Linked DNA regions of Elephas maximus indicus. The protein of the gene in region 3 interacts with the protein of the main gene of each other region in a biochemical or structural test. Links are inferred from orthologs where the notes say so. Each region holds a gene or a part of one and is shown on either strand. Other genes may lie near its edges.

Region 1 (10,462 bases), on a different chromosome or scaffold from region 3:
ACCTGGCATTTGGGAAGGATATCCTCGAAAAACAGAGTCTAGAACAAATGCTGACCGTGATTTTTCTGTGAGATAAAATTGGAGGCCCAGAATCTGACAGTTGCTTCCTCCCTTGCTACTGCAGACAGTGGCCAATGGGGCTCTGGCCATGTTTCCGCAGACAAGACTGCAAAGGGTGTCCATTGTTCTGGGTCTCCATGTAACACCTGACCTGGCTTTGGCACAACTAACCCAAGTCTGGAGAAGCCAGCTCCATCCTTTGGGCACGGACTACGGATGACTTCCGCAAAGGTGCGAGGTAAGGTGAAGATAGCAACGTTTTCACTGGATCAGGTACCATGGCACCCTTGACCACGTAAAAGGGAGAGGGAAGGACCAAAGCCAGGTGAGTGGGCTAAAGAGCGGCTAAGAAGATGGCAGTGGGAACACATGAGAAGACAAGGTGTTATGGAGTGAATTGTGTCCCCCCAAAATGTGTGCCAACTTGGCTAGGCCTTGATTCCCAGTATTGTGTGGTTGTCCACCATTTTGTGATCTGATGTGATTATCCTATGTGTTGTAAATCCTAACCTCTATGATGTTAATAAGGCAGGATTAGAGGCAGTTACGTTAATAAGGCAGCACTCAGTCTACAGGATTAGGTTGTGTCTTGAGTCAGTCTCTTTTGAGATATAAAAGACGGAAGGGAGCAGAGAGGAGGGGGACCTCATATCACCAAGAAGCAACACCAGGAGCGGAGCATGTCGTTTGGACCTGGGGTCCCTGTGCTAAGAAGCTCCTAGACCCAGGGGAAGATTGATGACAGGGACCTTCCCCCAGAGCCAACAGAGAGAGAAAGCCTTCCCCTGGAGCTGCTGCCCTAAATTCAGACTTCTAGCCTCCTAGGCTGTGAGAGAATAAACTTCTGTTTGTTAAAGATATCCACTTGTGGTATTTCTGTTATAGCAGCACTAGATGACTAAGACACAAGGCTTTCAAAAGTCTGCTGAGAAAGCAGCAGGGAATGTGCCGTCATCAAACCTGTTTTAAAGATGAGACCTCCTGAAGCATGTTTGTATGCTGGATAAAATTTTCCAGCAGAAAGGACCCTTAAGGCAGATCCTCATTCTCGGAAAGGCCTTGCCTGCCCACCCAGAAAATGCGCATGCTGAACAGAGGGAGATCACCCTAAGAGATTAAGGCAGAGCTCACCCCATCCCTACACCCTGCACCTGCTTCTGCTCCCTTCCCCAAGTTAAGACACTCCACAGTAAAAAGATGGGTTATTGAACAGGAAGTTGATTGATGCAGTCTAAACCTAATACACCAAGCAGCACTTAATAAATGTATCAAAAAATTGTGGGAAAATATGGATCTTAGGTCCAGATCGAAATCCACTCTGTATTTTCTTCCCATTTAAACCCTCAGTCCCAAGAAGAATTGTGCTTTGGTAAATTCTATAGACCAGGATGTGATTTCAAAAACGAACGCACAGTAAACCTATAAAATGAATTTTATAAAGAGTTAAATTAAACTTCACGAGTTCTGGAAAGTATAGCAGGCTAGGCTCTAAGTGGTATTCAAAAAGAAAATTCCTGTTTATATCATCCTTTAATTATGTTGCCTCTAGATACATAGCAAATTACGTCGTGTAGACCAGCTGAATCCGCCTTAGGGGCTGACATTCCAAAGAAATATCCAGGAAGAGAATCTATTTGTGGCTTTTTTCTTTAACAGGTTTTCCACATTTTTTTTTCTTATACCACTGCAGTTCGTATGGCAATGGGCTATAATGTGGCTTATTTGTTGGTGAAGAAATATTAACACATTTTTTGGTGAAAAGCATTTTTATATTATAGGCCAAATATAGGCATATATTGCGGCCCAAACAAGCGTATTTTGTTAATAATGGGGATGTTTTAAAAACCACTGGTGTGTGTATGTGCACACATGCTTGTGTGTTTGAAAGAAAAGACTTAGTGGCTCCTGAAATGCAAAACACATATCCAGCTTTCATAGAGCACAGCTGTGAAAAAGTCTGCCTCTCCCTGGGTATTTCAGCTCACTGGAAAGATGAAGGTTACTTCCATGGAAAGTCAGGGTAAATGCTTTCCTTTCAAAAAGAGCCTATGAAAGACAGGGGTTTTCCTAGGCTGGTTAAAACATGCTATCCTGGTGCGGGGAAGCTCGTTCTAACACTTGGGTGTAACCCACTAAGTAAGTTCATCTTTCCAGCTCCTTCTTTCCATGGGTGGAAAAAGAATATGCATAGCCTCCCTCCACACAGGCGCACACACACAGACACACACTCACACAGAGAGACACACACATGCACAAAGACACACACACACATGCATACACACACAGACACATGCACACAGAGACACAGACACAGAAACACACAGACACACGCACACAGAGACAGACACACAGACACGCACACACACACAGACACGCACACACACAGACACACACACAGACACAAAGACACACACACACATGCATACACACACAGACACATGCATACAGCGACACAGGCACACAGAAACACACAGACACACGCACCCAGAGACACAGACACACATGCACACACACAAACACAACTGCTTTTCACAAAAGTCTTTGTTTAATCTTTCCTGCTCTGTATTTTCTTTGATATTTCTTAAATGTCTTCTCATTAAACCCAAATATATTTGGTTCTTGTTTAAAATGCAACTTGAAAATTTTTATCTGGTAATTTATAAAGCAACCGTCAAGTGTCTGTGCACTGTTTGTGGGAAGAACACCAGCCTATTGGACAATTCCATTTCTATGAAATGCCCAGAATAGGCAACTCTGTAGGGACAGAAAGCAGATGGGGGAGGGGGTGTAATGGTGGGGAGGGGGTTGGGTAGGACTCATGGCTAAGGGGTTTCTTTTTGGGGTAACCAAAATGCCCTCAGATTGATTGTGGTGATGTGTACGCAACTCTGAATATATTGAAAGCCATTCAATTGTATACTTTAAATGGGTGACTTGTCTGCCATGTGAGTTATATCTCAATAAAGTTATTTAAAAGGGAAAAACGAGGAGCTAGGTCATGTTTAGAATATGAATTTTAAAGAAGGTTTAAAAAAAGTTGAAACAGCAAGAACACTGGATTCAACCTTGGAAAGCCCTGGTTTAAACCCTGATTCCTTCACTTCCTGGATTTGGTAGTTTGGTCAGTGGGCAATTCACAGGATTCCTCCAAGTCTGGATTCCCTCGCCCTCACAACGGGGATGGATGTACTGAATTTATCTCACCAGGTGATAAAAAAGCAAGTATGAGTAAAGGAGGCGTGTATATACGTGTGAAAAGCGGCCTACCCCAAGCACTAAGTGTATATTTGTTGAATTAATATACACACACATCGTTTGGCAAGTTGATCCTGGGATTTCTCCAAGCAGAAGAAGGAGACATGTAAGTATGGAAAGTCTCACTTCAACCAGATCAAACAAGGAAACGGGGAATCCAACTGCACTCTGGTCAAATACACTCCAAGAGAGAATTCATTGTTTTAAATTCTGAAATGAGGGGAGCATGATACCTTCATAAAAATGTTCTGGATTAATCCAACTGAGAACTAGGCAAAGAGACTAACAACGACAGCCTTTAGGTTTGTTAGCTGTATGGGGTTTTTTTCCAGCTAAAATCATTTGGGCTCAATCTCTTAGCTTTGAAAAGTCACTCCTGATTGTCTCTGCCCATTCATTTTTAACACCCTGCAGTGTTCACAGCGAGATTAAGCTTATTCCTGAAGCATTCCTTAATCTCATAGTAGATTTTGAACTGGGACGCTCATGAACCACGAGCTAAAGTAAACGAGGTACACCTAAAACCATGGTACGAAACCTGGCACAGTCATGCATTGCTAGGAGGAAACATGATGATTAAAATAAAAGATGTTACACCTTACCTGGTGGCAGAAATAAAAGAAATAGAAGGACCACTTTCGTCTGTTCCATTTTGAGGCTGACCAACAATGTCCAGGAAACAGTGTGTCCCAATCCCAAAATGTTACTGACTCCCAAAGAGTCAATACATCCACAAACAAGATAATCCAGTGAAGTTAATGATTCCCTTGGTGGCCCTGCTGCTGGACTCCAAAGGGTCCAAACAGTACCTTGAATAGGGATCTTACAAAATATGTTTGAGAGCAGAACCTGCAATAAATGCTGGGAAGTGGTGAAAGCGCTTCTCCCCCACTCGGCCGCCCGCACCTCCTGCCTGTCGCCTGGTCCTCCCCTCGCACCCACTTCTTCCTCTTCCCCCTCTGCTTTCAATCCCTTTCTTTTGGATAAAATAATAGTCATAATAATAGCTAACGTTTGCTAAGAACTTTCCTCATCCCACTCTGGTCAGTGGTGCATACACACTGTCCCATTCAACCTTCACTGCCAGTACTGACGGAGGCAATCTTATTATTACCCCATTTTAAGGAGTGAGAACTGAGCCTCAGAGAGGTTAACTTGCCTGAGGTTAAACAGCTAACAAGGGATGAAGTTGAATAAACACAAACTATTTAGGCCTTAGATTATAAATTTAGTTGAGCTAAGACATTATCCTGGGTTAAGACATTATAGTTAAAATCCCCACATCCTGCACAAACAAAAACCAAACCAGTTTCCATCAAGCCGATTCCTATTCATGGCGGCCCTACATGTGTCAAGAGTAGAATTGAGCTCTAGAGGGTTTTCACTGGCTGACGTTTTTGGAAGTAGTGTTACACCTTTCTTCTGAGGTGCTTCTGGGTGGAGGTAGAGGTGAACCTCTCACCTTTCAGTCAGCAGCCAAGTGTGTTAATTGTTCACAGGACCCAGGGACTCCAACTTCCCACCCAACATCATGGAGTTGCTACGTAAGTAAAATAGTTTATTATTATTATTATTATCATTAACATTTCTTTATTCCCAGTGGGTTCGTGTGTTGGCCAAAATTGTACATTATAAAAATATCTATTCCCTCAAATGAATGTGCAATATATTATATCCCCATTCTATGAAAGAAAGAGTGGTAAAATCCAAAGTTTAAACAGCCTGTCTCAGCAAGGGCGGGGGTTTGGGGACCATGGCTTAAGGGGACTTCTAAGTCAATTGGCAAAATAATTTTATTATGAAAACATTCTGCATCCCACTTTGAAATGTGGCGTCTGGGGTCTTAAATGCTCACAAGCAGCCATCTAAGATGCATCAATTGGTCTCAACCCACCTGGATCAAAGGAGAATGAAGAACACCAAGGTCACACGATAACTAAGAGCCCAAGAGACAGAAAGGGCCACATGAACCAGAGACCTACAGCATCCTGAGACCAGAAGAACTAGTTGGTGCTCGGCCACAACCGGTGACTTCCCTGACAGGGAGCACAACAGAGAACCCCCGAGGGAGCAGGAGATCAGTGGGATGCAGACCCCAAATTCTCACAAAAAGACCATACTTAATGATCTGACTGAGACTAGAGGAATCCCGGCGGTCATGGTCCCCAAACCTTCTGTTGGCACAGGACAGGAACCATTCCCGAAGACAACTCATCAGACATGGAAGGGACTGGACAGTGGGTAGGAGAGAGATGCTGATGAAGAGTGAGCTAATTATATCAAGTGGACACTTGAGACTGTGTTGGCATCTCCTGTCTGGAGGGGGGATGGGGGGATAGAGAGAGTTGGAAGCTAGCAAAATTGTCACGAAAGGAGAGACTGGAAGGGCTGACTCATTAGGGGGACAGTAAGTGGGAGTACGGAGTAAGGTGTATATAAACTTATATGTGACAGTCTGACTTGATCTGTAAACGTTCACTTGAAGCTCAATAAAAGTTAATAAAAAATAAAGAGCCTGTCTTCATTTTAACAGCTGATTCTGTAGTGTTGCTTGACTTAAGGCTAGAATGACCAGATAGTAAACCAAACCAAAAACCAGTTGCCGTCGAGTCGATTCCAACTCATAGTGACCCTACAGAACAGAGCAGACCTGCCCCATAGGGTTTCCAAGGAGTGCCTGGTAGATTTGAACTGCCAGCCTTTTGGTTAGCAGCTGTAGCTCTTAACCACTAAGCCACCAGATTTTCCAGATAGTATAAGCTTTAAAATTCCTATTTCAGTGTTCAAAAATAGTTGGGACAGTGAAATTGACCTCTTTCTTTTAAATGTGAAATCAGGACAAGAAAGCATATACTCTTCTCTCTAGGCCAGCAAATTCCTTCCTCAGTATCACCTAGCGAAGTGTGTTGTTGTGTGTTGCCAAGTCAGTTCTGACTCATAGCAACCCCACGTGACAGTGTAGAACGGTCCCCCAGGGTTTCCAAGGATGCTCCCGAGGAGCAGCTGGTTGGGTTTGACCCACCAGCTGAGTGCTTAACTGTTGCACCTCCAGGGCTCATTGTGTATGGGTGGCAAGGGTGTGGAACTTACCTTGATGGATTCCCCAGGATGGAGGCACTAGGCGGACTTCGCCAGACCAAAACGTCCTTGAGAACAACAGTGCATCCCCTTGTGGAAGCAGAGATGGCCCATCGTCACTTCTTGATTTTCTGCTTCAGCCTGGCTGGCTTCTCTCCCCAGCCTGTCCCGCCTCACTCCACCCTCTTCCTCTCACCTGGTGGCCAGTTTATTGGCACCAAAGGTGGAGGCACACTGAGAAATCAATGCTAGGCAGACATTTCCCTGGATATAGCTGACATGTTTTGTTAGGGGCCTACAGTTGTGTTTGAGAGAGTATAGTACTTTGGGAAAAGAACTAATATTATAACATAACTAATATTGTAAGATAATATCATAGGATGTTTCCAGTGTGTTTTTGTTTCCTTTCAAGTGTTATCTTTTCACTGCCTCGTGGATGAGGCACTTCAGGAATGAGGTTATCAGAAATTCTACACCTACATAATTTTCCTTTTCCTGTTGATTTGAGTGGTGGTGTTACACCTTTTGCCCCCTTCCCCCAGATAGTTCTAGAATGCATTTGATTCTATGCATTCTTCACCACCTTTGTAATACAGTAGCATCATGAGAGCACAGAGGAATATTGAACAGATGTTTGCTGTCGTCCACCGGATTCTACAGCGTGCAGAGATGAGCAAAGGGGAGGTGTTGCTCAAGTGTAGACTGGGGTGGGTGCACAGAGACCTCCATCACGGCCCAGCCCTACCCCTCGGTTACAACAGAGGACCAGGTAGGTGGAAAGCAATGGACTCTCCTGAGTGTGTGTAGGAATCCCACACTAGCTTGCTAGAGGGAGGCTGGACTATTGTTTTGCCCCGGCTCCAAAGGCAACTAATTCAAAACAAGCCCCATGAAAGAATGTCAGAAACTGAGAAAAGAGATGTAGAAAGAGAGACCATTTCTGTACATTTATTACAACATTGAATAAACTCTGAGATGTGTATTCTTATTCCGTTCAATTCATAAGTATTTACTGGCTACTCGACAGCACCACGTTTGGTTTGGTTTGGTGTGTACAGTACTGTGTTAGATTCTGTTGTTGCTGTGTGCTGTGAAGCTGATTCCGACTCATGGTGACCCCATATGACAAGGTAGAACTGCTTCCATAGGGTTTTATGGGCCGTAATCTTTACAGAAGGAGCCCTTGTGGTACAGTGGTTCAGCACTTGGCTGCTAACCAAAAGGTCAGTGGTTCCAACCCACCAGCTGCCTCATGGAAGAAAGATCAACTCAACAGCAGTGGGTTTGTTTTTGGTTTAATCTTTAAGGGAGCAGGTTATCAGGCCTTTCTCCCGAGGAGCCACTTGTGGGTCAAACCAACAAACTTGCGGTTAGCAGGGGAATGCTTAACCGTTGCACCACCAGGACTCCTAGACTCTTTTAGGCTTATGTAAAAAGTATAAATCACAGTGTCTACCCTCTCCGAGCCCCCACCCCAAAGGAGTGACAGGAAGCCTTTGCACATAGATTTGTGGAGCCGCAGCAGCCACACGTGTAGTTAGGGACAAGGACATTAAAATGAGATGGAAGTTCAGCCTAATCCCCTGAGCTCTTGCCCAGCATGGGGCCTGCAACCAATATCTGCTCAGGTTCTTTTAGGAAGGAAATAATTAGCCAGTCACTCCCAACATGAGGATGGTAAATTCCTTGCAAGGAATTTCCTCACAGGGAACGTCTTTGGTAGTTGTGAACATGGGAAAGGCCAGCCTCGCTGGGAGAGGGAGGTAGAATTCGCCCCTCAGTCTCACTTGCACCCCTTTACGTGGTCACAACCTCCCAGGTGACAAGGTTTCACACAGCATGAGGACCTTGCAGTACTGGCCTCAGATCTTTGCCCTGCAGCGCCTTCCTACCCTGCCTCCACCTTCCTCAGCCCCAGGCTTTGCCATCTGGGAACTCGCATTCTAAAACAACTTGCTTCTTTGCCATGAACCTCTTGGAATGTTCCCAGGAAGACTTTGTCGCTTCAAAGCGAAAACACCAAAAAAAAAAAAAAAAAAAGAATTAATCTCTTAAGGACTCAAATCGATTTATCCCTTGGTTGTTGCGAGAGTTCTTAGCAAGTCTGTCTTTGCTCCTGATGTCAATTTGCAGGTTGCTTTTACTGTGTCAGTTTTTAGGGCATATTACCAGGGAAGCATGTTCTAATGAACCGGAAGATGTCTTCCATTTCTTTATGCGACCTTTACCCCGTGTTTGTTGGTTTTGGTCATCCGTCTCTGGGGCCAGGTAGTGAGAGGCTTATCAGCCCTCACCTCCGGTAAAGAGATGGCAGAACCGTTCACTTAGCACAGTGGTTAAAATGTAAGCTGCTGGGAGCGCTTTTTCAGTCAGACTTGACTGATCAATTCAGTGCTCTGTGAAGTAATATTTCTTAGTTGTGCTTGAGGAAATTGAGATGTTTATTCATTTTCAAAAATAAATCAGTTTTCGTAGGCTGTCTCCTCATCAGACTTGTACTATGCTTAAGAAAAATGTTAGCAGAGAAGATAGTAATTCCCAGGTAATCGACCCGACCGCACTGAGTCAGGCACATGGACTCCAAATAGACCTGGCTAATGTCCTTTCTCCTTTGAGCTGTGATTCACTATGCATAAAACAAGAGCCTAGGCTAGAGGTAAACCAACACATTCCCATCTCTACAATTCATTGTTCGCTAAGCTAATTAAGATAAAAATATTTTTTCTCAAGATTATCACGGTATTTAGGGGAGACAAGGCATGTAGAAAACATAAAATCTTTTAAGAAAAAAGAATAAGTGAGTGAAAAATCTGGTGGAATCTGCGTAGGGTCTGTAGACAAGTTCATTAAATCATGCCAATGGCAATTCCCTGGTCCTGAGACTGTGCTATAGAAATGTAACTTATGTAAGATGTCACCTTTGGGGGAGACTGGGCGATGGGTACACAGGACCTCTCAGTACTATTTTTGGAGCTTCTTGTGAGTTTATAATTATTTTAAAATAAAAGGTAAAAAATGTGTATGTGTGTGTGTGTACATATATATATTGCTGTTGTCAGATGCCCTTGAGTTTGTTCTGACTCATAGCCACCCCATGTACAACAGAATGAAACACTGCCTGGTCCTGTGTCATTCTCACAATCATTATTATGCTTGAGCCCATTGTTGCAGCCACTGTGTCAGTCCATCTCATTGAGAGTCTTCCTCTCTTTTGCTGATCCTATACTTTACCAAGCATGATGTCCTTCTCCAGGGACTGGTCCCTCCTGATAACATATCCAAAGTACGTGAGACAAAGTCTTACCATTCTCGCTTCCAAGGAACACTCTGGCTATACTTCTTCCAAGAATACACACACACACACACACACACACACACACGGAAACCCTGGTGGTGTAGTGGTTAAGTGCTATGTCTGCTAACTAAAGTATTGGCAGTTCAAATCCACCAGGTGCTCCTTGGAAACTCTATGGGGCAGTTCTACTCTGTCCTATAGGGTTGCTATGAGTCGGAATCAACTCGATGGCAGTGGGTTTGGTTTTTTGGTATACACACACACTTGTGTATCTCCAAAAAACCAAAACCGTTGCCCCATAACCTGTCTCAAACCAGCGAACCCTCCAACCTTGATGCTGTGGTGCAGGGTATGTCATGGTGTTGGTGTCATGGTGTTGACATCATGGTGTTGAGATAGACTTCTGCATGTAAGGTCTTTTTCCTTTAATCGTGCACTCTCTCTCAGGAGATCTAGATCATTTTCCACAAATTGGCCTTGGTCTAGAGTCATCCCAATTTATTACACAAGGTTTTATGTTCTTGAACCTCATGGGAGCCGTATCCCAACATGTCTTAGGGTTCTCTAGAGAAACAGAACCACTGAGGTATATAAAGAGACAGAGAGAGAGATTTACTTCAAGGGATTGGCTCACAAAATTGTGGGATGGCAAGTCCAAAATCCATAGGTCAGGGGACTGGCTAGAGATTTCTGCAAGCTTATGGGATTGTGGTGGGGCTGGCAAGTCTCAAATCTATAGGTCAAGCAGCAGGCTGGAGACTTCTGCAGGCTTGC
Region 2 (9,733 bases), on a different chromosome or scaffold from region 3:
CCACCAGGCAGAGGCATGGCACAATACCAGGAACAAGCTTGGGGATGTGAGGAACAGTGAGGCACGTGGGGAGGTGAGAGGGTTGGACTATACAAGGCTACTTGGGACATGGTGACAAGGTGGATTTTATTACTCCTGGTATTGGAAACCTTCGTGGTGTAGTAGTTAAGTGCTACAGCTAATAACCAAAAGGTCAGCAGTTCAAATCCACCAGGCGCTCCTTGGAAACTCTATGGGGCAGTTCTACTCTGTCCTGTAGGGTCACTATGAGTCCGTAATCGACTTGACAGAATAGGGAGCCTCTGAAGGGGTAAGCAGGGGCAGGATGCCCCCTGGCTGCAACATGGGAAATGAACTGGAGAGCAGGGGTGAGCCCAAAGGAGATGCCCGAAGCTGAGAAGAGTCAGGGGTCATCAGCCAGCTGTGGAGAGTGCAAGAGTCCACAGGAATGAGGCACCCATGCTGGTAGGACACACCTAAAGTTGGAAGCAGCTCCTTTCTTATTACTTTACTCTGCCGCCACCTGGTGGCGGCATACCAATTCAAAAAGCCTGAGATGGGAAATGTATATGGATGAGTTTCTGGGAACAGGAGCACTGGTGGTGCAGTGGTTAAGGTCTTGGCAGCTAACCCAAAGGTGGGCGGTTTCAACCCACCAGTCTTCTTGCAGGAGAAAGATGTGACAGTCTGCTTCCGTAAAGATTTACGGCCTTGGAAACCCTGTGGGGCAGTTCTACTCTACCCTATAGTGTCACTGTAAGTAAGAATTGACTTGATGGCAGTGGGTGTGGTTTGGTTTTGAAGTTTCAGGAGGGGGCTGGGAATTCTCAGCCTTTTCCTGCAGCCCAGGGCGGGGGAGTTTTCTGCAAAAGGTCCAGAGGGAACCAGGCCCCCCAGTCTATGCCCAGCATTGGAAGGAAACCCGGTTTGCTGGAGGAAACACCCAGGGTAGTATTAGCCCTTTATGGGGACAGAAAAACCCAGAAAACGTCAGTCCTGGGCATTTTCGATGGGCTCATATGTGTGAAAATTGATGCAGAGGAAAGTTTTGGAAGGAAGCGTAGCAAAGAGAAGACCCCAGGGGCTGGGGGTGCTGCGTTGATTGGCTAGAGGTTGGCAGGGGTTGTTGAAATTTAGGCAACAAACCCACAGGAAGAACAGGCAGAATGGTCAGCAGATGAGAGGGAGTGACAGGTCCCCCGTGGGGGCCCAGGGAGGGGTCTCGGCAGCCAGGGGCCACACAGCCTGGTGGACCACTCCTGACAGCTTAGGGGCCTCCCAGCCTCCAGTGGGTGGGGGAAAGACGGTCAAACTATTATTTTCCTATTGCAGCGTAACTTGGATCAAGCACCGTGCACATTTCGTAATTGTAAGCTCCATAGCTCTTTACTTGGTTATAGCCCCTATTACCACTATTTGGTTATCGAAATAGAACTTTCCAGGTCTCCAAAAGCCCCCACATCTGTGTAGATTGAATTCTTGGTTTATATTTAAATACGAGTCTTCTCCCACGCGTCTGTCGGTTTGTCGTCCTGTGGCGTCTTGCAAGCCACCGGTTTTCAAATGCCAGCAGGGTCGCCTATGGCAGACAGATTTCAGCTGAGCTTCGAGAATGAGACAGACTAGGAAGAAAGACCTGGCAGTCTGCTTCTGAAAAGAATTAGCCAGTTTCGAAAACTTTATGAATAGCAGAGGAACATTGTCTGATACAGTGCTGGAAGATGAGCCCCCCAGGTTGGAAGGTGCTCGAAATGAGTCTTCGAGCAAAATAGTGTTAATAACCAAGTCTCTGGTGGAAGGCGCAGTGGTTAAGAGCTATGGCTGCTCGCCAAAAGGTCAGCAGTTGGAATCCACCAGCCACTCCTTGGAAACCCTAGGCTGCAGTTCTACTCTGTCCTACAGGGTCGCTATGAGTGGGAACCAACTTGATGGTGATGGGTTTTTATTTTTTAGTGGAATCGGGTTTCGATTTAAAGTCTTAGAGCTTGTCTTTTGTTATAAGGATAACAGTTTTACACACTCTGATAAGGACAAGGAGACCAACCGAACTTCGGGTTTAGAGCCGAGGAGGATTGTATCCAGCGACTTGTGTACCAGTTATTATAGATAAACTTCACAAAAACAGCCTCACACACACACACGCTACTCACCCGTGTGTACGCAGGCAAGTGGGAAAAAATGACTGAAGATATCAACACTTTAGCCAAAGAGAGGCTCTCAAATACATCACCACCAGCACCGTGGAGCTGACGCCGACTCACGGCGCCCCCGTGTGTGCTGAAGCAGAACTGTGCTCCATGGTATTGTCAATGGCTGACTGTTCAAAGCAGATTGCCAGGCCGTTCCCCTGACGTGCCTCTGGGTGGACTTGAACCTCCAACCTTTCAGTTAGCAGCCGAGCGCTTTAGCTATTTGCTCCATTCAGGGACTCAACTACAATATAAAAAACCAACCAAACCCAGTGCTGTCGAGTTGATTCCGACTCATAGCGACCCTACAAGACAGAGTAGAACTGCCCTGTAGTTTCCAAGGAGCGCCCGGTGGATTTGAACAGCCGACCCTTTGGTTAGCAGCCATAGCACTTAACCACTATGCCACCAGGGTTTCCAAATACAATATAAAAAAAAGCTGTGTTAATTTGGGATTACAATACTTCGGCTAGAACAAGGCAGAATTCATCCCTTTTAAAGAGCATCCGTGAGATAACAGACTTAATGTAACAGGTATCTTTCTCTGTTGACAGCACGTTCAGCCCCGTGTGCCAATGGCTCCTTTCTGCATTTGTGTAGATTACTAACCTGGTCTTGACTGTCTAAATTTTTAGGCTTAGTACACATGCATTATTTACTGATTAACAAATAAATAAGTGATTTATTACATGTTTGATAAAAAAAAGCCCCCGTGTGCCCCTCTCAGTCTATACCCTCCACGTCCCCCCTTTCATGAGATAATTAATGGTTAACAAACCCTCAAAGACAGTGCTTTGTTGTCTAAGCACTTTACAAACATTATTTCGTTTAATCCCATGAGATGGAGCCTGTTATAACTTGGAATATGCAGACGAGGAAACTGAGGCACAGAGGGATTAAGTGAGTGGCCTAAAGTTACACAGCAGGCAAGCGGAAACAAACCGAGATACGAACCCAGAACTGACACCCCTAATGACCATAGGGTGTGTGAATGTGGTATACAGGTGATGCTCAATAAATGCAGCCTTGGTTAAGTCTGGTCTCCCTCCCTGGGCCAAACTCCCCCAAAAGACATGACATCCTCCACTCTTCCCCCATCCACCATCCCTAGACTTGAAACAAGACTGTGTATGCAGCAGGTGCATACTAAGTGCTCTATGGTAACTTTAAGGCAGCAGAGTGGGGATCCCACCAAGGACAGGAGCGGGGGGAGGCAGGACTGGTTACTGCGTGTCTGACCAAGCTGGGGACGAAGAATGGACATTAATTGAGCACCTGCTGCATGCTAGGTCCTCACTGAAGAGTCCTGGGGATTCACCTGCCTGCAGTCACACAGTGAGGGGGTCCCCGGGACAAACAGGACCTAGGCGGGGCCCAGGCTCTGGGTGTCTCTGGGCTTCCCACCCCGTCTGCCCCAGAGACGGGTCTGTTGGCTCCCTTGCCTGAACTTGTCCTGGAGCCAGGGAGCCGGGGGACGTTGTGTCTTGCGACATCCTTGGCTGTAGCCGTTGCAGAGGGAGTATCCTGGGGGAGGTGGGAAGAGGAACCAGGGTCTGGGGGCTGGGCTGGGCCCTGGGGGACCCCCTCTCGTTGTTTGGACTGGGCTTCCTCCACAGGGCCAGGCCTAAGCTCTCAAGCCTGATGGAGACCCACAGCCCCCTCCAGCCTGGGAAGGAGTCCTTTCTCCAGCCCCTGCAGCAGGCACAGCAGCTAGACCACAGACAGCCTCAGGCCGGGGGAGGGCTCACAGAAAATCAGCAAGGCGGGGGTGGGTGGGGTGGAGTCCTTCCCGGAACCTCTGCTGGCCTCCAGAGACTGACACCACACCCTCCCCACAAGTGAAGTGAGTTCCCTGTCATAAGCAATAATCAAATAAATGCTGGAAGGCTAGGCCCTGAGAGGGACCCTTGAGGCTCGGGTGGAGGACAGCAAAGCCAGGACCCAGAGTCTGCCTCAAATCACTGTCCAGCTGTGATCCCCGGGGGCAAGGTTCAAATCCTGGCTCCCCCCACTACATCTCTGTGTGGCAATTCATGGGGGACTGTCTATGCCTCAGTGTCCCCATCTCAAATGGGGACTCAGCAGTTCCCTCATAACCCTGTGAAATGTCAGGGCAGCTCCAGGTTATGGTTACCCTATCACTGTCATCATCATAGCACCCCAGGTAAACTGAGGCACAGGGATGCACCTGGCTGGGCTCCCTCAGGCCGAGGGTGACCAGATTTAGCAAAAATACAGGATGCTCAGTTAATTTTGAATGTCAGAAAAATAATGACTCATTTTGTAAGACAGATCAGTCCCAGGAGAGGGACATCATGCTTGGTAAAATAGAGGGTCATCGAAAAAGAGGAAGACCCTCAACAAGATGGATTGACACAGTGGCTGCAACAATGGGCTCAAACATAGCAATGATTGTGAGGGTGGCACAGGACAGGGCAATGTTTCGTTCAGTTGTGCGTAGGGTCGTTATGAGTTGGAACTGACTTGACGGCACCTAACAACAACAATTTTGTAAGTATAAGTATATCCTGTGCCGTTTTTGGGACATACTTATACAAAAAATAATCAATTGTTTATCTAAAATGTAATCTTAACTGGGCATCCGGAATTTTATCTGGCAGTCCTACTCATGCTGACCTAGCCTCCTGCACCCCCATGCTATTCTAGCACCCCGTTGTCCCCCACAGCCCCCAGGAGTGGGGAGAGGAAGTGGGGACGCCTGGCCCTGCGGTGGGGCAACCACAACGGCCTCCCATGTCGGGGCTGGCTATAAGAGGGGTTGGTGGGGCTGCAAGGGCAGAGACTTGGACTCCCTGCCTGACCATGACCCACAGCCACCAACCCTCTGGCCCTGCCCTCACCCCCCTCCTACTGGCTGTGCTCCTGGGCGGTGAGTAGCGTGTGGGTCCATACATCTGTGGGTGCCTGTTCCTCACATCCCCACTGTGAGCTCGATCTACGTGACTCCTCATCCTTGTGGGAGGTGACGGCTGGGCTGAGGAGCCTCTTAGTACAGGAGAAGAGCTTGAGGTTCTGAGTGGCAAGGCCACAGCAGGGGCCCAGAGTCAGGGTTTGAACCCTGGGGTCAGAGGTTACCCTCTGGGGCTCAGAAGTGGGGTCCAAGTCTGGATCCGGTTGTGCCTTGGATGGAGTGACCATGGGCAGATTCCTTCTCCTGTCTGTGCCTCAGTTTGCTCATCTGGGAAACGGGTGGGAGGAGCCTGACCTCATGGATTCCTGGTAGAGGTTCAAGTAGCTGGGCGGGGTGTCCTTGGCTAGGGCTCATGGCTCCCTCTGTCTCCTCAGGCCCTGCGCTGGCCTCGGAGATTGTGGGTGGCCGGCCAGCCCGGCCCCACGCCTGGCCTTTCATGGTGTCCCTGCAGCTGCGTGGGGGCCACTTCTGCGGAGCTACCCTCATCACCCCAAGCTTCGTCATGTCCGCGGCTCACTGCGTGAACGGCATGTGAGTCACCCTGGAGGGCTGTTTCCCTTCTGGGAGACTCAACTCCCACATCTGTAGAACGGGAGGGGGTGAGGCCAGGGCCCCGGGTCTGTGTGGACAGGGCCCCCAACAGTGCACCCCCTCCTAGGCCCAAGTAGAGGCATTCGTCAGAGGGGTGTGGGAGGACGCAGAGGTGAGGTTCCTTCAGGCGCAGGGCTGAGTCCTGGGGTCCCCCCCACTCTGAACTCCTGGACCACCCCGAATCACTGCCCATCCCCCCTTGCCGTAGAAACTTCCGGTCTGTACAGGCAGTCCTGGGGGCCCACAACCTGCGTCGGCGTGAGCGCACACGGCAGACGTTTACCGTCCAGAGGGTCTTTGAAAACGGCTTTGACCCCACGAGCTTACAGAATGACATCGTGATTCTCCAGGTGCCAGGATGGGCGGGTGGTGGCGCTCAGGCTGGAGCCGGCAGAGGCGGGCAGAGAAGGGACAAGAGTGTGGGGGACACTTTGGACCAGGTTGCGGGGCCCTCAGCAGCAGACCTGAGGTCGAATCCAGGTTCTAACCAGGCATGTCACCCCCTCCTAGTGCCTTAGACCCCTCCTCTGTAAAACAGGGGAAAAAAAAACCTGCCCCATAGTCTGCCGAGAGGATTAAAGGAGATGATAATACAGCGGGTTGTCAATAAATGAGGCCGTTGCTCTTGTATACTGCCTGGGCCCCTTCACTCACTGACCCTGTGGCCACAGGCAGAGACGGGTCCCTACCTCTGTAAAGTGGGGTAAAACTCCCCACTCTCGGGCAGGTAGGAGGCTCGAGGGAGAAGCCCCTACCCCAGGCTAGCAAGGTGACTATGTTCTATAACAAGGCTTTTGTTGTTAGTCACCTTGTCCACAGTTTACTTTGTGAAACATCTACCTTTTACTGCGCCCAGGTCACGTCCGAGGGTACGTCCAAGGGAACTCCCTCTCCCAACAATGTCGCAAGCCACTGTGGTTGCTCCCCTTTTATAGGTGGGGAAACCGAGGCTTAGGATGGGGAGCAGCCTGCGGCGTGGGTGACGTGCTGCGTGAGACCTCAGAACTCACCTTTTGATGGGGCCTCAGTGGGGAAACTGAGGCACAGAGCGGGGACGGTCACTGCCTGCCCTCCTTCGTGACCTGCTGTTGGTCTGTCCTGCCCCCGACAGCTCAATGGGACGGCCACCCTCAATGCCAATGTGCAGGTGGCCCAGCTGCCCGCCCAAGACCGTGGCGTGGGTGACGGGGAGCGGTGCCTGGCCATGGGCTGGGGCCGGCTGGGCATGAACCAGCCACAACCCAGTGTCCTGCAGGAGCTTAACGTGACCGTGGTGACCTCTCTCTGCCGCCGCTCCAATGTGTGCACCATCGTGCATCGTCGGCGGGCTGGCATCTGCTTCGTATGTACACTGCACTCCCCACCCCATGCTCCCCACCTTCCTCCAGGTCCAGGCTGCAACAGCAGGGACTGTGGTCAGACTCCAGGAAGGACTTCCCACGCTCTCGAGGGTGGCAGGTGGGCAGTGGGCCTTGTAGTGCAGCCTCCTGACCTTGTCTGCCTCCACAGGGAGACTCTGGCGGCCCCCTGGTCTGCAGTGGAGTGGTCCAGGGCATCGACTCCTTCATCCGGGGAGGCTGCGGCTCTGGGTTCTACCCAGACGCCTTTGCTCCTGTGGCACAGTTCGCAAATTGGATCAACGACATCATCCGCGGTCATGATGATGGCTCCTCTCCCCACTCCAGGGACCCTGTGAGCAGGACCCCCTAGGAGGGACTGCCCCCGTCATTCCACCTCACCTGCTCATGGCTGCATTAACCACTGGCACAATAAAAACCCTCTCTGTTTTGTAGAATGTGTCTGGGAATTTGTTGCCTGCGAAACTGGCTGTTGACTGGTCAAGAAGCTGTCTTGGGACAGCTCCAGTACGCTACCACCAGGTGGCGACAAAGTCAGGGCATTGGAGCAAGAAGTGAGCCCACTTTCTCCTCCACCCTCCACCAAAGGATGCCAGATAACCAACCATTGTGGTGCAAAGTCCTGGTCAGGAGCCTGGGTTTAGGATTTCCCAGACTTGTTTTGGTTGGGACTCTGGGCAGGTGGCTTGCTGCTTCTCTGAGCCTCAGTTTCCTTGAGGGAGGGAGTGAGATGCTGTCTGGGAAGGACTAAGCCAGGGCTTTGGGTCCCAGGCCTCCTTTGTCCTCACTGGGTGATGCAGACAAGCACCCCCCACCTCCCCAGGCTCAGTTTCCCCTCTGACAACTGGGGCAGAGCATTTCCCAAGGCAGCCCCCAGCCCAAATGGAGGACAGGTCCAAGGCAGCAGCCCTGGGGAAGGGGCTGGCCCAGGCCCCTCTGTCTGCCTTCCTGAGCCTGATGAGGACCCCTCTCAGGCCACAGTGGGGGCCGTGACACACATGGCCTCTGTGCCATTGTGTGGCTCACAGTCTGACGGGGGAGGATACCAACCCAAACCAGCAGATAAAGGACAGCGATCAGGTCCTCCTCATGAACTCTGAGTAAAACGCCCCTCCCTCTTGTTCCTGGCCCCAAATCCTTTCCCACTGGAACGCACTAGCAGGGCTGGCCCCCACCTGAGCACCTTTGCCCAGGCTGGTTCATCCCCCTGGCCGGCCCTTCCCACAGCTGTCCCCGAGGCAGTTCCCCTTGTCACACTTCCACCCAAGTGTCAGCTGCTCAGGGGACAGGGAATGACCCACTGCCCAGCAACTGCACACCCTGGCAATCTTCCCACACAGACCAGCGTCTGAGGGAAGGTTGGGGATCCTCACTGTCATCCTTGCTGCATTTCCAAGTTTTGTTGTGCTCTCTAACTCAGCACCCTAACAGGCTTTTGCTCACCGTTTCTGATTTTAATAAGGAAATGTGTTTTAAAACAAAACAAAACCCGTTGCCGTTGAGTCAACTCCGACTCATAGCGACCCTATAGTACAAGGTAGAACTGCCCCATAAGGTTTCCAAGGAGCAGCTCATAGATTAGAACTGCTGACCTTTTGGTTAGCAGCCTGAGCTCTTAACCACTGCACCACCAGGGCTCCAGAACACTGTTAGAATCTAACAAATCACATTTCTTGCATTGTTTTCTACTCTTCTCTGTATGAAATAGTTCACTGGGCAGAGAAACGAAGCAGAGGGAAAAGTATTACGTGGCTGCGCTCACATGGGCAGACATGACACCCACCCACTTCTGTCCCAGCGCCTCCGCCCTCTGGGTCCAAGAAAGCTTGACCCACCATCACCTACGGAGGGCCACGTGACCCACGCTCGGCCAATCAGAACATGCCCATCTCCTGCCCACAGTGATTGGTTTGGGACGGGACATGTGATCCAAATTCAGCCAGTCAGAGGCAGCCCTGAGACTTTGGCTAAAGTGATGGAGAATGAGGCCTTCACTTTGGGAGGGGACTGCTGTGCCTCCAGGGTGAGGCTGGGGCTCCTGGAGTCACAAGAGGGGAGCCTGGTGAGGAGAGAAACCATCAAGGAGGAAAGGAGAAGCCAGAGGCAGAGGTCCAACATTGTTCAGGGACCTAGATCGAGCCATAGCTAAAGGCAGATACCCCTAAACTTGGCATTTAAATTCCAGTTGTTGAAGGCTCCACCCAGTTTGACTTTGATTTTCTTACTGGCATTTAGCTGCCCCTACACACCATCTTCCAATATTTTACTTGTTGGTGCGTCAGGCCTCAGAGGCTGCGGAGACAAGGGTGTTGGGTGACCTCCCCCTACCCCCACAGCATCTTCAAGTTGGAGAAGGAAGAAAAAGAAGGGAGGGGCAGAAGGGTGAGGAAGTGGTTGTTTACAAACTGTGGGTTCCAGCGTTGTTGTGTAACCCTGGGGCTGGAAGGACACTCTAGGGCCGGGTGGGGGACTGGAGCGAGGGCTCAGCCCTCCTCTCTGCCCGCTCCCCATCCTGAGGGGCTGCCCTCTCTCAGGGACAGCCTGGGCCAGGCTCACAGAGGGGAAGGGACCCCCATTCTACTCTAGGTGCCAAGTGTTGAAGGAGATAGCCCTCTGTCCCTTCCCCTGCTGAGGAAGGAAGAGGTCATGTTCCCCTTTCTCCA
Region 3 (9,958 bases):
TGTTGGCATCTCCAATGACCACTAGGAGCCCAGGGTAACAGGCTGCAGGCCAGGAGAGGCAACATGCCCAGCCTTCAGCATGTTATGTCAAAGCCAGATTATGTCAGATACCCAGCCTCTGCAGACTGAGCAGGACACAAGGCCTCACGAGGGGCAGGGCCAGCCCACGGTACCTGGCCCCCGGGACCATGCTCTGTCCCTGGGCCACCATCAGGGCCCATCTTCCCTCTCCACAATCAGGATGTCCTAGGACACGTCCAAGGGCAGCTTCCCCATCCTGTCCCTCTCTGTCTTGTAAACGAACATGGAGGTGGTCCAGCTTACATAGGGAATAGCCTAACCTACCCTCCAGACAAACCTGGACTCACAGCTGCCCTACCACCCAAGCCCCAAAAAGGATACCCTTTGGAAGAAATGATGCAAAATTCCCTGAGGCCTGCCCCCACCCCCCACCCCCAAATTCTTCAAGAGGAGATGGAAAAGAATGGCTCCTCTCCTCCGGGGTTGCCCCCTCCCTCACCCCGAGACCCTGCCCCCATGCCATGAAGCTGGTTGGAAAGAGTCACGTGAGTTGAGAGGCTTGTCCAGGCAAGGGACTCAGGATGCTGGCGGCCACGGCCCCTCACTTGGGGCTGCTAGGTTCAGGGTAATCCTCCTCCAAGGGAGGCGCAAGTTTCAAGTCAGGGCCAAACGGCTTGTCTCCGCGGGGGAAGGTTTTCAGGTTCTGGAAGGAGTTGTTGTCCGGGGAATCCTGCTGCTCCTTGCGCTCCCGCTGCACACCAGGGTTGGGGTTCCTCACACTGCCCACAAAGAGGGGCAAGCCTATGGTGTCCTCGAAAATGAAGAAGAGGAAGGGACGGTTTACGCTGAAAGAAGAGAGGGACATGCGGGACATGGCCGTACTGGTCGCCGCGGTCGCCTCCACGCCAGCCTCGCTCAGCTCCAAGGTGGATTGATGCTGCACGCTGGACACCACCAGGCTCTCGTCAGAGATCCCACTCAGGTCTGGGGCCTGGAACAGCTCCTGCAGGCCTGCCAGGGCAGCAGACAGCTGGTCAGAGCCAACCTCTGCCCACAGCTGCCTGGCTGGACCTGTTTGGTAGAGAGTCCTGGCCCTGGATCTGTTAGCCCACAGATCCGCTGGCTAACTACTATTTAACCTTCAAGCCTCAGCTTAAATGGCACTGCCTCCTGGAAGCCTTTCCTGAAGTGCAACTTGATGCCATTCAATGTTCTCCCACAGCTCCCCTCTGTCTTATCACTTATACTGAACAGGAAATGTCTGATTCCTTGTCTGCCCAGCCTGTTATACTGAGCTCTTTGTACACAGGGTGCTCCCAGGGTCTAGTACAGCACCTGGCACATAGAAGTTGCTTAGCAAATGACTGATGGGTGGATGCATCTCCTTAACAGTGTGAAATCCCAGTTTATCTTCCTCCTCCTTCTAGGAGGCTACCCCAGGCTCTCACCTGGGGGTCTTTGCAATGTTCTTGGGCAAAGCAGATCCCCGTTTCCTGGGCCTCCCAGCCCACCCCAGGAACAGAGGGTTCAGGGGCTCATATCGAATCCCCTCATCCTTCCTATGCCCCAGCAAAGGGTAGGACATAACGCTAGCTCTGACCCATACCCAGTGCCAGGCAGTGGCTCCCTCCTCACCCACACTGCCCCAGCCTCCTTATCCAACTGGTCCATACCCAGCCTCCTTACCCAGCTGGCTGAGGGTGGCCACCAGGTCCAGCTGGTATTTCAGGTGCAGCTTTGGCAGCCGGACATTGGTGGGCCTCTCCCGCACTGAAGGCTGGTGCAGGGTGTCCCAGCTCAGGTTGGCCAGCACCTGGGACACGTTCCATTCAAACTGAGCAGGCACAATGACCACAAAGCTCATGTTGTTCTTAAAGGGGAAGTGAGCCACCTGCAAACAAGGGAAGGAGGCAACGTGAGGACCAGCAAGCACCCAAGCCCAGGCGGCGTCTGGGACAACATGTGTTTTGGAGACAGATGAATGGGATTATCAAGTTCTGCCTCACTGAGCCTTCAGCTCCTCATCTGTGAAATGAAGTCACACCAGCTGCCCACCTTGCAAGTTGGACCCTACTAGGTCCTCCTGGGTAGGGAGACAGAGAGATCTTTCAGAGCCACCAGCCCTAAGGACATGACTGCCCTGCAACAGGAAGGTAGGGCCCCGTCCCCAGCTCCTGCCTACTCCCCTCCCCACCGCCAGAACCCAGGCAACCTAGGCCGACCTGCATCTCAGGCTGCTCCAGCAAGAACCACCGTAGAGGGTACTTGTGGGCTCGCATCATGTCCACGGGCACTGTGAACTGCTTGTCCAGGTGGAAAGTGTCTCTCTGGGTGAGGCTTGGGTCGAACTTGCTCCTCCAGAGACCTGCATCCAGGTGGAGGGCAGAGGCCACAAGGGCTGGGACCAGGGTGGGCTCCTCAACACCAGCCTCTTCCCATCCCACCCAGAACTTTTTCACAGAACAAGGGGTAGAGGCCAGTATTCCTCGGGCTATGTGCAGTGGACCCCGCCCCCCACCCCCACCGCTGTTCTGAGGTCTCTTCCCTACAGCGTTTTTTAAATCTGGGCTCTACCCTCCCAGCCCCTGCAGTGTTCCTAGGAAGTCACCCTGGGTCTGTGTATACCCACCTTCCTTCTAGGGTGTCCTCTCCACAACAGGCCCCACTACCACCCAGTTCCTAGGCCCTCTCGCCACCACACCCTTCCCTGTCTCCTGTCCCCTCCCCCAAGCCACTATCCAGAGAGCTCTTCTGGCTCCCTGCCTTATGGCCCTTAAGAGGGAGAGGAACCCTCAGAACAAGCCCAACTCAGCCTCCAGGGCAACACAGAGGAAACCAAGGGTGGGGATTTCCAGCGCCTGGGTACTTGAGAAGGGGAAGGCCGCACCCTGGAAGTGGATGGCATTAAGGAGAAGCAGCACTGTGTTTTCAGGTAGCTCCAAGAGGAAGTTCTCAATCTTCCCTTCCGTGGCCTCCTTCACCCACTGGTTGATGTTTGCCAGGTCATCCCCCTGTCTTCCCGTCAGGCTCATGGGCTTCGCGCCAAAAAGCTGTTCCGACTGTTCCAGGAAGTCATCTTTGATGGGAAATCCTACACAGAAGAGGCAGCAAACTGTTCCCAGGGCTCAGGATCTGCTGGGCCCAGGCTACTACCCAAGGCCAAGCCCATCCCCTTCACCCCCGGCCACCCCCAGGGAGCTCTGCCCTCAGCACCTACCTTTCTCCAGGTACATTCTGGCAGCCAATCGGAATGCCCCAGGGCCCAGGTCCTGGTAGAGGCGGCTCAGCAGGTGGGGGAGGCAGGGCCCGGAGTCCGCATGCAGCACCTGCTGCAACCTCTGCAACGTCTGGTTCCGAGCACCTGGAGGGGAACGTATGGGCTGTGGCCCAGGCTGGGGGTTCCTCCAGGCCTCGTTCATCCAGTCCCTCTTGGATACCCACCATGAGCATACCCACAGGGCCACCAACTCTCCTCCCAATGCCAGACCAAGTACTGGACTCCCAAGGTCTACTCTCATCTCCGCCATGAAGGCAAGGTGACCTCACTCTCGCAATTGCCTTCTCTCTCTGGACCTCAGTTTCCCACAAGGAGACCCTCCAGTCCAATGGGAGACACTGTAGCAATGAAACTCTTGCATAAAAATCACCAGGCGAACTTGTGCGTAGGCAGATCCCTGGGCCCAATCCCTGGGATTCTGACTCATAGAGACCCGAAATTTGCATTTTTACCAAACGCCCAAGTGATTCTGATGGAGGAGCCACCCACTGCAATACTCTGGACGACTGGGTTCCTACTGGCCTCCCATCTCTGCCAATCTGGACGGGTGCTACCACGGTACCTAATGCCAGGTGAGACAGTGCCAGGGCCACGCTCAGGGGCGACAGGACAAGGTTGGGGCTGGTTGACGTGTGGGCCACCAGGGAGAATAGGTCTGTAGTGAAAGCCATCATGGCCTGGGCCAGCCTGCGGGTCTGCTCTGGGGTTGAGGTCCCCTTGCAGTCTCCTGGGGCCCTTTTCAGGGCATCAGGCTCCTGCTGGGGAGGTTCTGGGGTCAGTGGGCTCAAGGTGTCATCTCCAGGCTCTGTGTTGAAGGTCTCCCTCATAGCCTCGGCACTTGGGTGTGGCAGGATCTTGTCCCAGTGCTGAGGGAAGAGAGAGAGAATGTGGTGGACGCTGGCACTCTGGGGACCACATCCATTCCTTCTATCCTTCCAACCATCTCCCTTCTGCCTCCAAACTCCAGAGCCTCAACCTCAAGGCCACCCTCCTAGGCCCCTCACCCCTGCTGATTGGCCCTCCTTCCTCTGGTTCCGCCTACTCTTCCCAGCCCCACCAGCTTGTACCTTGTTGCCGAACTTGAGGAGGGGAGGCAGAGGCAGCTTCTCCTGGGTCTCCCCACTTATGAACTGCAGAGAGAAGGAAGCAGATAGAGAGTGGCCCTTCCTGTGGGCCCCACCCTGCACAGGTCACAGGTGAGGCTTCAGACCCAGTTCCTCCTCCCTGGTGCCTCCCTCCCTCTCACGTGCACCTCACTCCCCAGTACCTGCTGGTCCAAGGGCCCCACGGCACCCACAGGAGAGAACTGTTGAGAAAGGGACAAAGGTGGGAGGGGATGACCCCATCAGAGCCAAATCCTGTCCCCTCCTTCCCCTCCCAGCCTGGCCCATCTCCTCCTCCCCTTCAGCACCTCTGGCCTCTCCCACCACTGCCTCCCAGCCTCTTCAATTTGACCGACCCCTGCCCCACGAGACAGGGGCCCCTCCTCACCACCAAGCAGGGGCCTTGCAGACAGGACAAGCTGAACACCAGGAGCCCCCGGAGCAGTGCCATGTTCCTGTGTCAGGGACAGGAAGCCTCAGCTCCCACCTCACGCCCCCACAGCCAGCCATCCGAATCCAACCCACCACACTCATGCTCACAGACAAGACAAACTCCTGAGCTATGGCACATGACCCCAAAACACATTAGTGGTGCTTCTCAGCTCTGAGAGGCTGGGATTTCTCCCAGCACTTGTTTTTCTGTTTGTGTTTTCTTTCTGGTTTTTCACATTTCCAGCACTGAGAATGTTTTGGTTAATAGAAAGAAAGTATTATTTTTAAAAAATCCTTGTTCTTTAAGGCCTCATGTTATGAGTCAGGCTTGCCTCCTGCTAGGGTGACCTGGGTACCTTCCTAAGTCCCTCGGAGCTTTGACTTATCTTGAAAATGGCAGCAAAAGTCCCTATCTCCTCCCATGGTGCAGTGAAGACCCTAATAAGGCCATCTTTGTAAATACTGAGTACAATGCCTGGTACTTCATTCATGGCTGTTCTCAGTCTAGCTCAGGGTCCCCCCCTTCTGGGGAGCCTGCCCTGAAGCCCTTCCACATAAGGTCTCCCCTGACCCAGAGCCCCTACACAACCTGCTGTCCATGTGGCCAGCCCTTCTCACAGCGGGGACAGGCATGCAACCCTGAGGTCCTCAGACACAGCAGGGGTGGGGGGTTGACCCTAGAGCTGCCCTGTTGACCTAGCAGTGGAGCCCAATGAATGACTCCAGCCAGAGCCACCCTTGGACTTACGGGAATCACAGGCCTCACCCCCCACCCTGCCCCAGGCCAGCTCTGAGAAGCCAGGCTGCTGAGTGACAGTTGGGATGAGCAGGTGTTAGCCTAAAAAAAAAAAAAGCCCATTGCCATAGAGTCAAGTCCAACTCATAGTGACCCTATAGAACCAAGTAGAACTGCCCCCCATAGGGTTTCCAAAGAGCAGCTGGTGGATTCTAACTACCAACCTTTTGGTTAGCAGGTGAGCTTTTAACCATTGAGCCACCAGGTCTTAGTCTGAGACAAAAAAAGGAGGAGGATAAATCAGCCCCAGCTGGAGCCCCAGAGTAGGGCTACCACCATTCTCAGGGCCAGGCCACTGGGAAGGCCTGTCATCCTAACCCTACTCCCCACGACAGGCAGGGCCCTTGGCCTGGCCCTGAGCTACAGCCTGGGTTTTTGAGTGTTCCTCACAAGAAGATGGCATAGTGGTTAAGTGCTATGGCTGCTAACCAAAGGGTAGGCAGTTTGAATCCGCCAGGCGCTCCTTGGAAACTCTATGGGGCAGTTCTACTCTATTCTATAGGGTCGCTATGAGTCGGAGTTGACTCGACAGCACTGGGGTGGGGTGGGTCACAAGAAAAGGACTTCAGTTCTTCAAACTGAGCCCCACTTCCCACTCAGTCTCCCCTCACAAAGGTCCAGCCTTGGCTCCTCACCACCCCAGGACGCTGGGAATCTCCAGGCCTCCTGAACAAATTCAGAGCAGACTCCTGCATCAGGGACCAACTCTCAGCTCATCTCCTGCCCCAGGGAGCAGGCCCAAGCCCCCGCTCCCTCGTACCTCCTCAGGCTCCTTGCTGCCGCACACGATGTTCCTCTGGCCCCGCTTGGTGCTCCCCACGCTCTGCCCAGCTCCAGCCAGGCCAGCCTAGCCCTCCCCTCCCACCAGGACCTTTGCTCTGAGCCAACCCCTTTTCAGGATTGCTTTCTCTTCTGGTAAATATTGGCAAGCACATCCGGTTAAACATTGATATTGGGGCCAGAAGCCCCTTTCACCCCTTTCCCACCAGGCATCTAATTCTGAGAGACCCTGGAGCCCCCTTAGGTTTGGATCCCACCTGAGCCTGGAGAAAGGAGGTGCAGAAGGAGACAATGGAGGAGGCTGGGCCTGGGCAGGTGAGGGCAGACCCAGGAAGGGCAGGGGCCTGGCCCTATATCAAGCTTTCCAGAGGCCCTACAGGTGGGGATGATTCCCGTTCCAGCCTGGCTCAGAGAGGCTACGTGGACCTGGCCAAGGCCACAGAGCTGAGCCCAGGGTCACATCTCGGTTCCTGCTCCAATGTCCTCCCCTCTCCCCCACAGCTGCCTCCCAGGCCCCGGGGGAGGGAAGAGGAAGCTGTAGGAGTCTATGCCGAGAGCCTGGGCTAGAATGCCTACCCCCAACCCTTACAAGCCCAGGATCCTGGTTGGCTGTCTTCAGCCTGGGGTGGGGAGAGGAGCATGCCAAAGGATGGAGCCTCCCTCAGAGGTACCCAAGTCCTACCTCATTGCGAGCAACGCCTCCTGACCCACCCCAAGGGTGAGGGTTCTGAAAACCAGCCTGGGGCTGCATACAACAAAGCCCCATACCTCATGCCACCCGAAGAGCAGTGGCCAGACTGGCGTCCCCCTTCCCCCTCCCCACTGCCCTGGAAGCTGCTGGGTCTCAGATTTCCCCGCCCTGACACCACCATCAAGAGCAGCCACACTCCATCCATGCTCTTCCAAAGGATTTATTGGTCAGATTTACATCTATTGCAAATAGTGAGGAGACAGCAGGGCTGAGCCTCAGACCTCATCTCAGCTCCACTGTGAGCACCAAGGGATGCCTGGGTCTTCCTGTCCCCTGGGAGAGAACTGAGATGCAGAGATGATTCTTCTTGCCCCTTCTCTCGGGGTCTTGGACCCTCCCCCCTCAGAGGGGTTCTGGGCCTAGGAGCTGCCTCCTCAGTTCAAGGCACAAACACTGCGGGTGGGGGTGGGCAGGCAAGGCATGGGGTCACACTTGGCTGGCACCAGCTGGCCCAGCTCATCCTCCCTCCACTAGTCCTACCCTCTTTCTTCCCCCACTGGTCCCACACCGGGCAGGGCCTGGCTGGGTAGACACTTATGCCCCAGACTAAGGCCCTTAACTCCTGAACCACGGCCAGCCCCCACCCCCCAGAGGCTGGAGTCCAAGCACCATCAGTGCCCTGGTCCAGGGCAGCATCCCTGTCCTTGAAGAGCAGGGACAGAGTCCAGCAACAGGGGCCTTGGCTGGAGACTGGCTGGACAGGGCCAGTCTCCCTTCCCCTTCCTGGAGCCTTCTAATCCCTACGTGGATGGACCCAGAGGGCAAGTCCAGGAGAAGCAAGGGAACTTGCTCTCCCACGCTCTCCCTCTTGCTTCCTGCTGGCTGCGGGGAGCATCTTCCCAAGCCATGAGGACTTGTGAGACACCTGGCAGCCTCGGTGGCTTTAGGGATTCAGAGGCCCAGGCACAGCCCAGTTGGAGGCCCCAGCTGGCTGGCCATGTAGGTACACAGGCCTGCCTGAAAGGCAGTTGGGGGAACAAGGAGCAGGGATGGACTCCAGGGGATTTCTGCCAACCCTGGCCCAGCCAGCCCACAACTCAGTCTATGCCAGGAGGCGGATGACCCCATTGTCAGAGCCCAGCAGGAGGTGGCGCTTGGTGGGCAGCAAGGCCAGGCTGGTAAGCGTGCCCCGGAAGTTCTCAGAGCTGAGCTTGGTGGTGGCTTGGGAAGGCGGCTCAAGCAGAGAGCAGACGCCAATCTTATTGGCCACAGTACCAGTGACCACTTCGCTGCCATACAGGTCGAAGGTGTGGATGGGGTCAGATGCCGACTTGTAGTGATGCGTGGGCTTCTGTTCCAGCTCCTTCCAGACAGTCAGGGAGTGGTCGGAGGAAGAGCTGACCAGGACACTACCCTCCACCGCCTGCCCAGGGAGAGGAGAGCCTCAGCAGGGCTGAGCCCACAGACCCCAGGGAGCTTCCCATCTCCTCCCACAGCATCTCACAGGGAAGATGGGGTGTCCTAAGTGGATGACAGACTGTGGCCCTCTCTGTCATAGGATGCTAACATTAACATAGTAGAGTGTTAACAACCTAATCATCACTGTAGTTTGAGAACTTACTACATGCTAGGCATGTAACATTACACATTAAATTTTCATAACAACTCTGAGGTAAGTGTTGTCATTGTCTCCATTTTACAGAGGGAAAAACTGAGACTCAGAGAAGTTAAGAAGTTAAGAAATCAGCCCAGGGTCACAAACCCAGTAAATGGCAGAGCCAGGATTAACACCCAGGTTGAATGCAGAGTCCTCCTGGCTCTTTGCTGGAATGTCTGAATTCAGAGGTCCCTGGGTCCCTGAAGGAAGCCTGGAGCAGCCTGCCCTTAGCAGTGGCAGTGCATGTCCCCTGGCCTCCATCCAGGAGGGTGGGAGAGTCCCAGCTGCCTGAAAAGCCTTCCCACAAATAGTCTTGTTCCTTCCCTGAGGCCTGTGATGGAGCACTAGAGTGGGGTAGAAGATGCGGGCAGGACCCCCACACCCAGGCCTGCCCCTCCCCAACCAGAGCAGCCCAGTGAGGGGCATGGACTCTGCTCAGTGGGCTAGGGGCAGTAAACAGCCTCTCAACTGAGCTTTATTTAACCTGAACTGGGTCATGGACAGGGCCCGACCCCTGATCCTCCAAGCAAGACAAATATGGACAAGGGTTACTCATTAGAACATCTCCAGGAAGCAGCAGGGTCAGCTCTGCCCCCCTGCTCCCGCCCCCATGGCCTGCCTCTAGCCCAGGCCCCTGCACCACAGCTGGCTCCTGAGCTGGCCCAGGAGGGCCACCCTCCCGGCCTGCCTGTCCTTGAGTAGGTGTCAGCAGAGATGAAGGGCTAGGGTGGGGACTGGAGCCAGGCTAGGCAGTGAGGAGGGCAAGGGGACCTGGAACTTCACCTTGATCTGCAGGATGTCCCCTTCATGGGCGGGCCAGCCACGCAGAACCAGGCCCGTGCGGGTGTCCAGGAGCACCATGAAGCCTGAGGAGAAGCCGGCCACGACGCTGCGGCCACTAGGGCTGACCGCCAGGGAGCGGACAAGCCCAGGGTTCAGCCCACCGCCCAGGCGGAACTCGTGCTGCAGGTGGAAGGAGACTGAGAGTGAGGGACCACCATCCCACCCGCCCCATCCCGCTTCTCCCTACAGGTCCTACCCACCACCTGAGCCCACAGAGCAAGAGGATTGAGTCTCTGTCCACCTACCAAGAGGAGGGAAGAGCCCAGTGTCATTTCCTCTCCTCCGTTCCCTCCCAGCTTCCATCACAGGCCAGAGTCCCAGCCCCAGGATTTGCTGCTGTGCGTGATCTATCTCCAAA

Evidence for each region.
Region 1: the proteins of SERPINF2 (region 3) and PLG form a complex in vitro, tested with the Homo sapiens proteins (2 studies listed by BioGRID, with this or other methods). The link is inferred for Elephas maximus indicus from reciprocal best matches to the Homo sapiens genes SERPINF2 and PLG.
Region 2: of the proteins of SERPINF2 (region 3) and ELANE, one has a biochemical effect on the other in vitro, tested with the Homo sapiens proteins (2 studies listed by BioGRID). The link is inferred for Elephas maximus indicus from reciprocal best matches to the Homo sapiens genes SERPINF2 and ELANE.

Annotation. Positions count from the first base shown.
Region 1 is NC_064819.1:232,833,679-232,844,140, forward strand, and holds the start of PLG (plasminogen), read right to left. Parts: upstream 3,967-10,462; coding exon 3,918-3,966; intron 1-3,917. UniProt on the Homo sapiens protein: Plasmin dissolves the fibrin of blood clots and acts as a proteolytic factor in a variety of other processes including embryonic development, tissue remodeling, tumor invasion, and inflammation. In ovulation, weakens the walls of the Graafian follicle.
Region 2 is NC_064821.1:596,876-606,608, forward strand, and holds ELANE (neutrophil elastase), read left to right. Parts: upstream 1-4,998; 5' UTR 4,999-5,012; coding exon 5,013-5,079; intron 5,080-5,495; coding exon 5,496-5,652; intron 5,653-5,920; coding exon 5,921-6,062; intron 6,063-6,823; coding exon 6,824-7,054; intron 7,055-7,221; coding exon 7,222-7,422; 3' UTR 7,423-7,499; downstream 7,500-9,733. Other genes in the region: CFD (complement factor D), read left to right, coding at 9,717-9,733. UniProt on the Homo sapiens protein: Serine protease that modifies the functions of natural killer cells, monocytes and granulocytes. Inhibits C5a-dependent neutrophil enzyme release and chemotaxis. Promotes cleavage of GSDMB, thereby inhibiting pyroptosis. Promotes blood coagulation.
Region 3 is NC_064837.1:19,982,736-19,992,693, forward strand, and holds SERPINF2 (alpha-2-antiplasmin), read right to left. Parts: upstream 4,853-9,958; coding exon 4,790-4,852; intron 4,644-4,789; coding exon 4,566-4,643; intron 4,429-4,565; coding exon 4,366-4,428; intron 4,165-4,365; coding exon 3,861-4,164; intron 3,383-3,860; coding exon 3,239-3,382; intron 3,113-3,238; coding exon 2,909-3,112; intron 2,387-2,908; coding exon 2,244-2,386; intron 1,913-2,243; coding exon 1,708-1,912; intron 1,033-1,707; coding exon 623-1,032; 3' UTR 522-622; downstream 1-521. Other genes in the region: WDR81 (WD repeat-containing protein 81), read right to left, coding at 8,203-8,523, 9,541-9,720.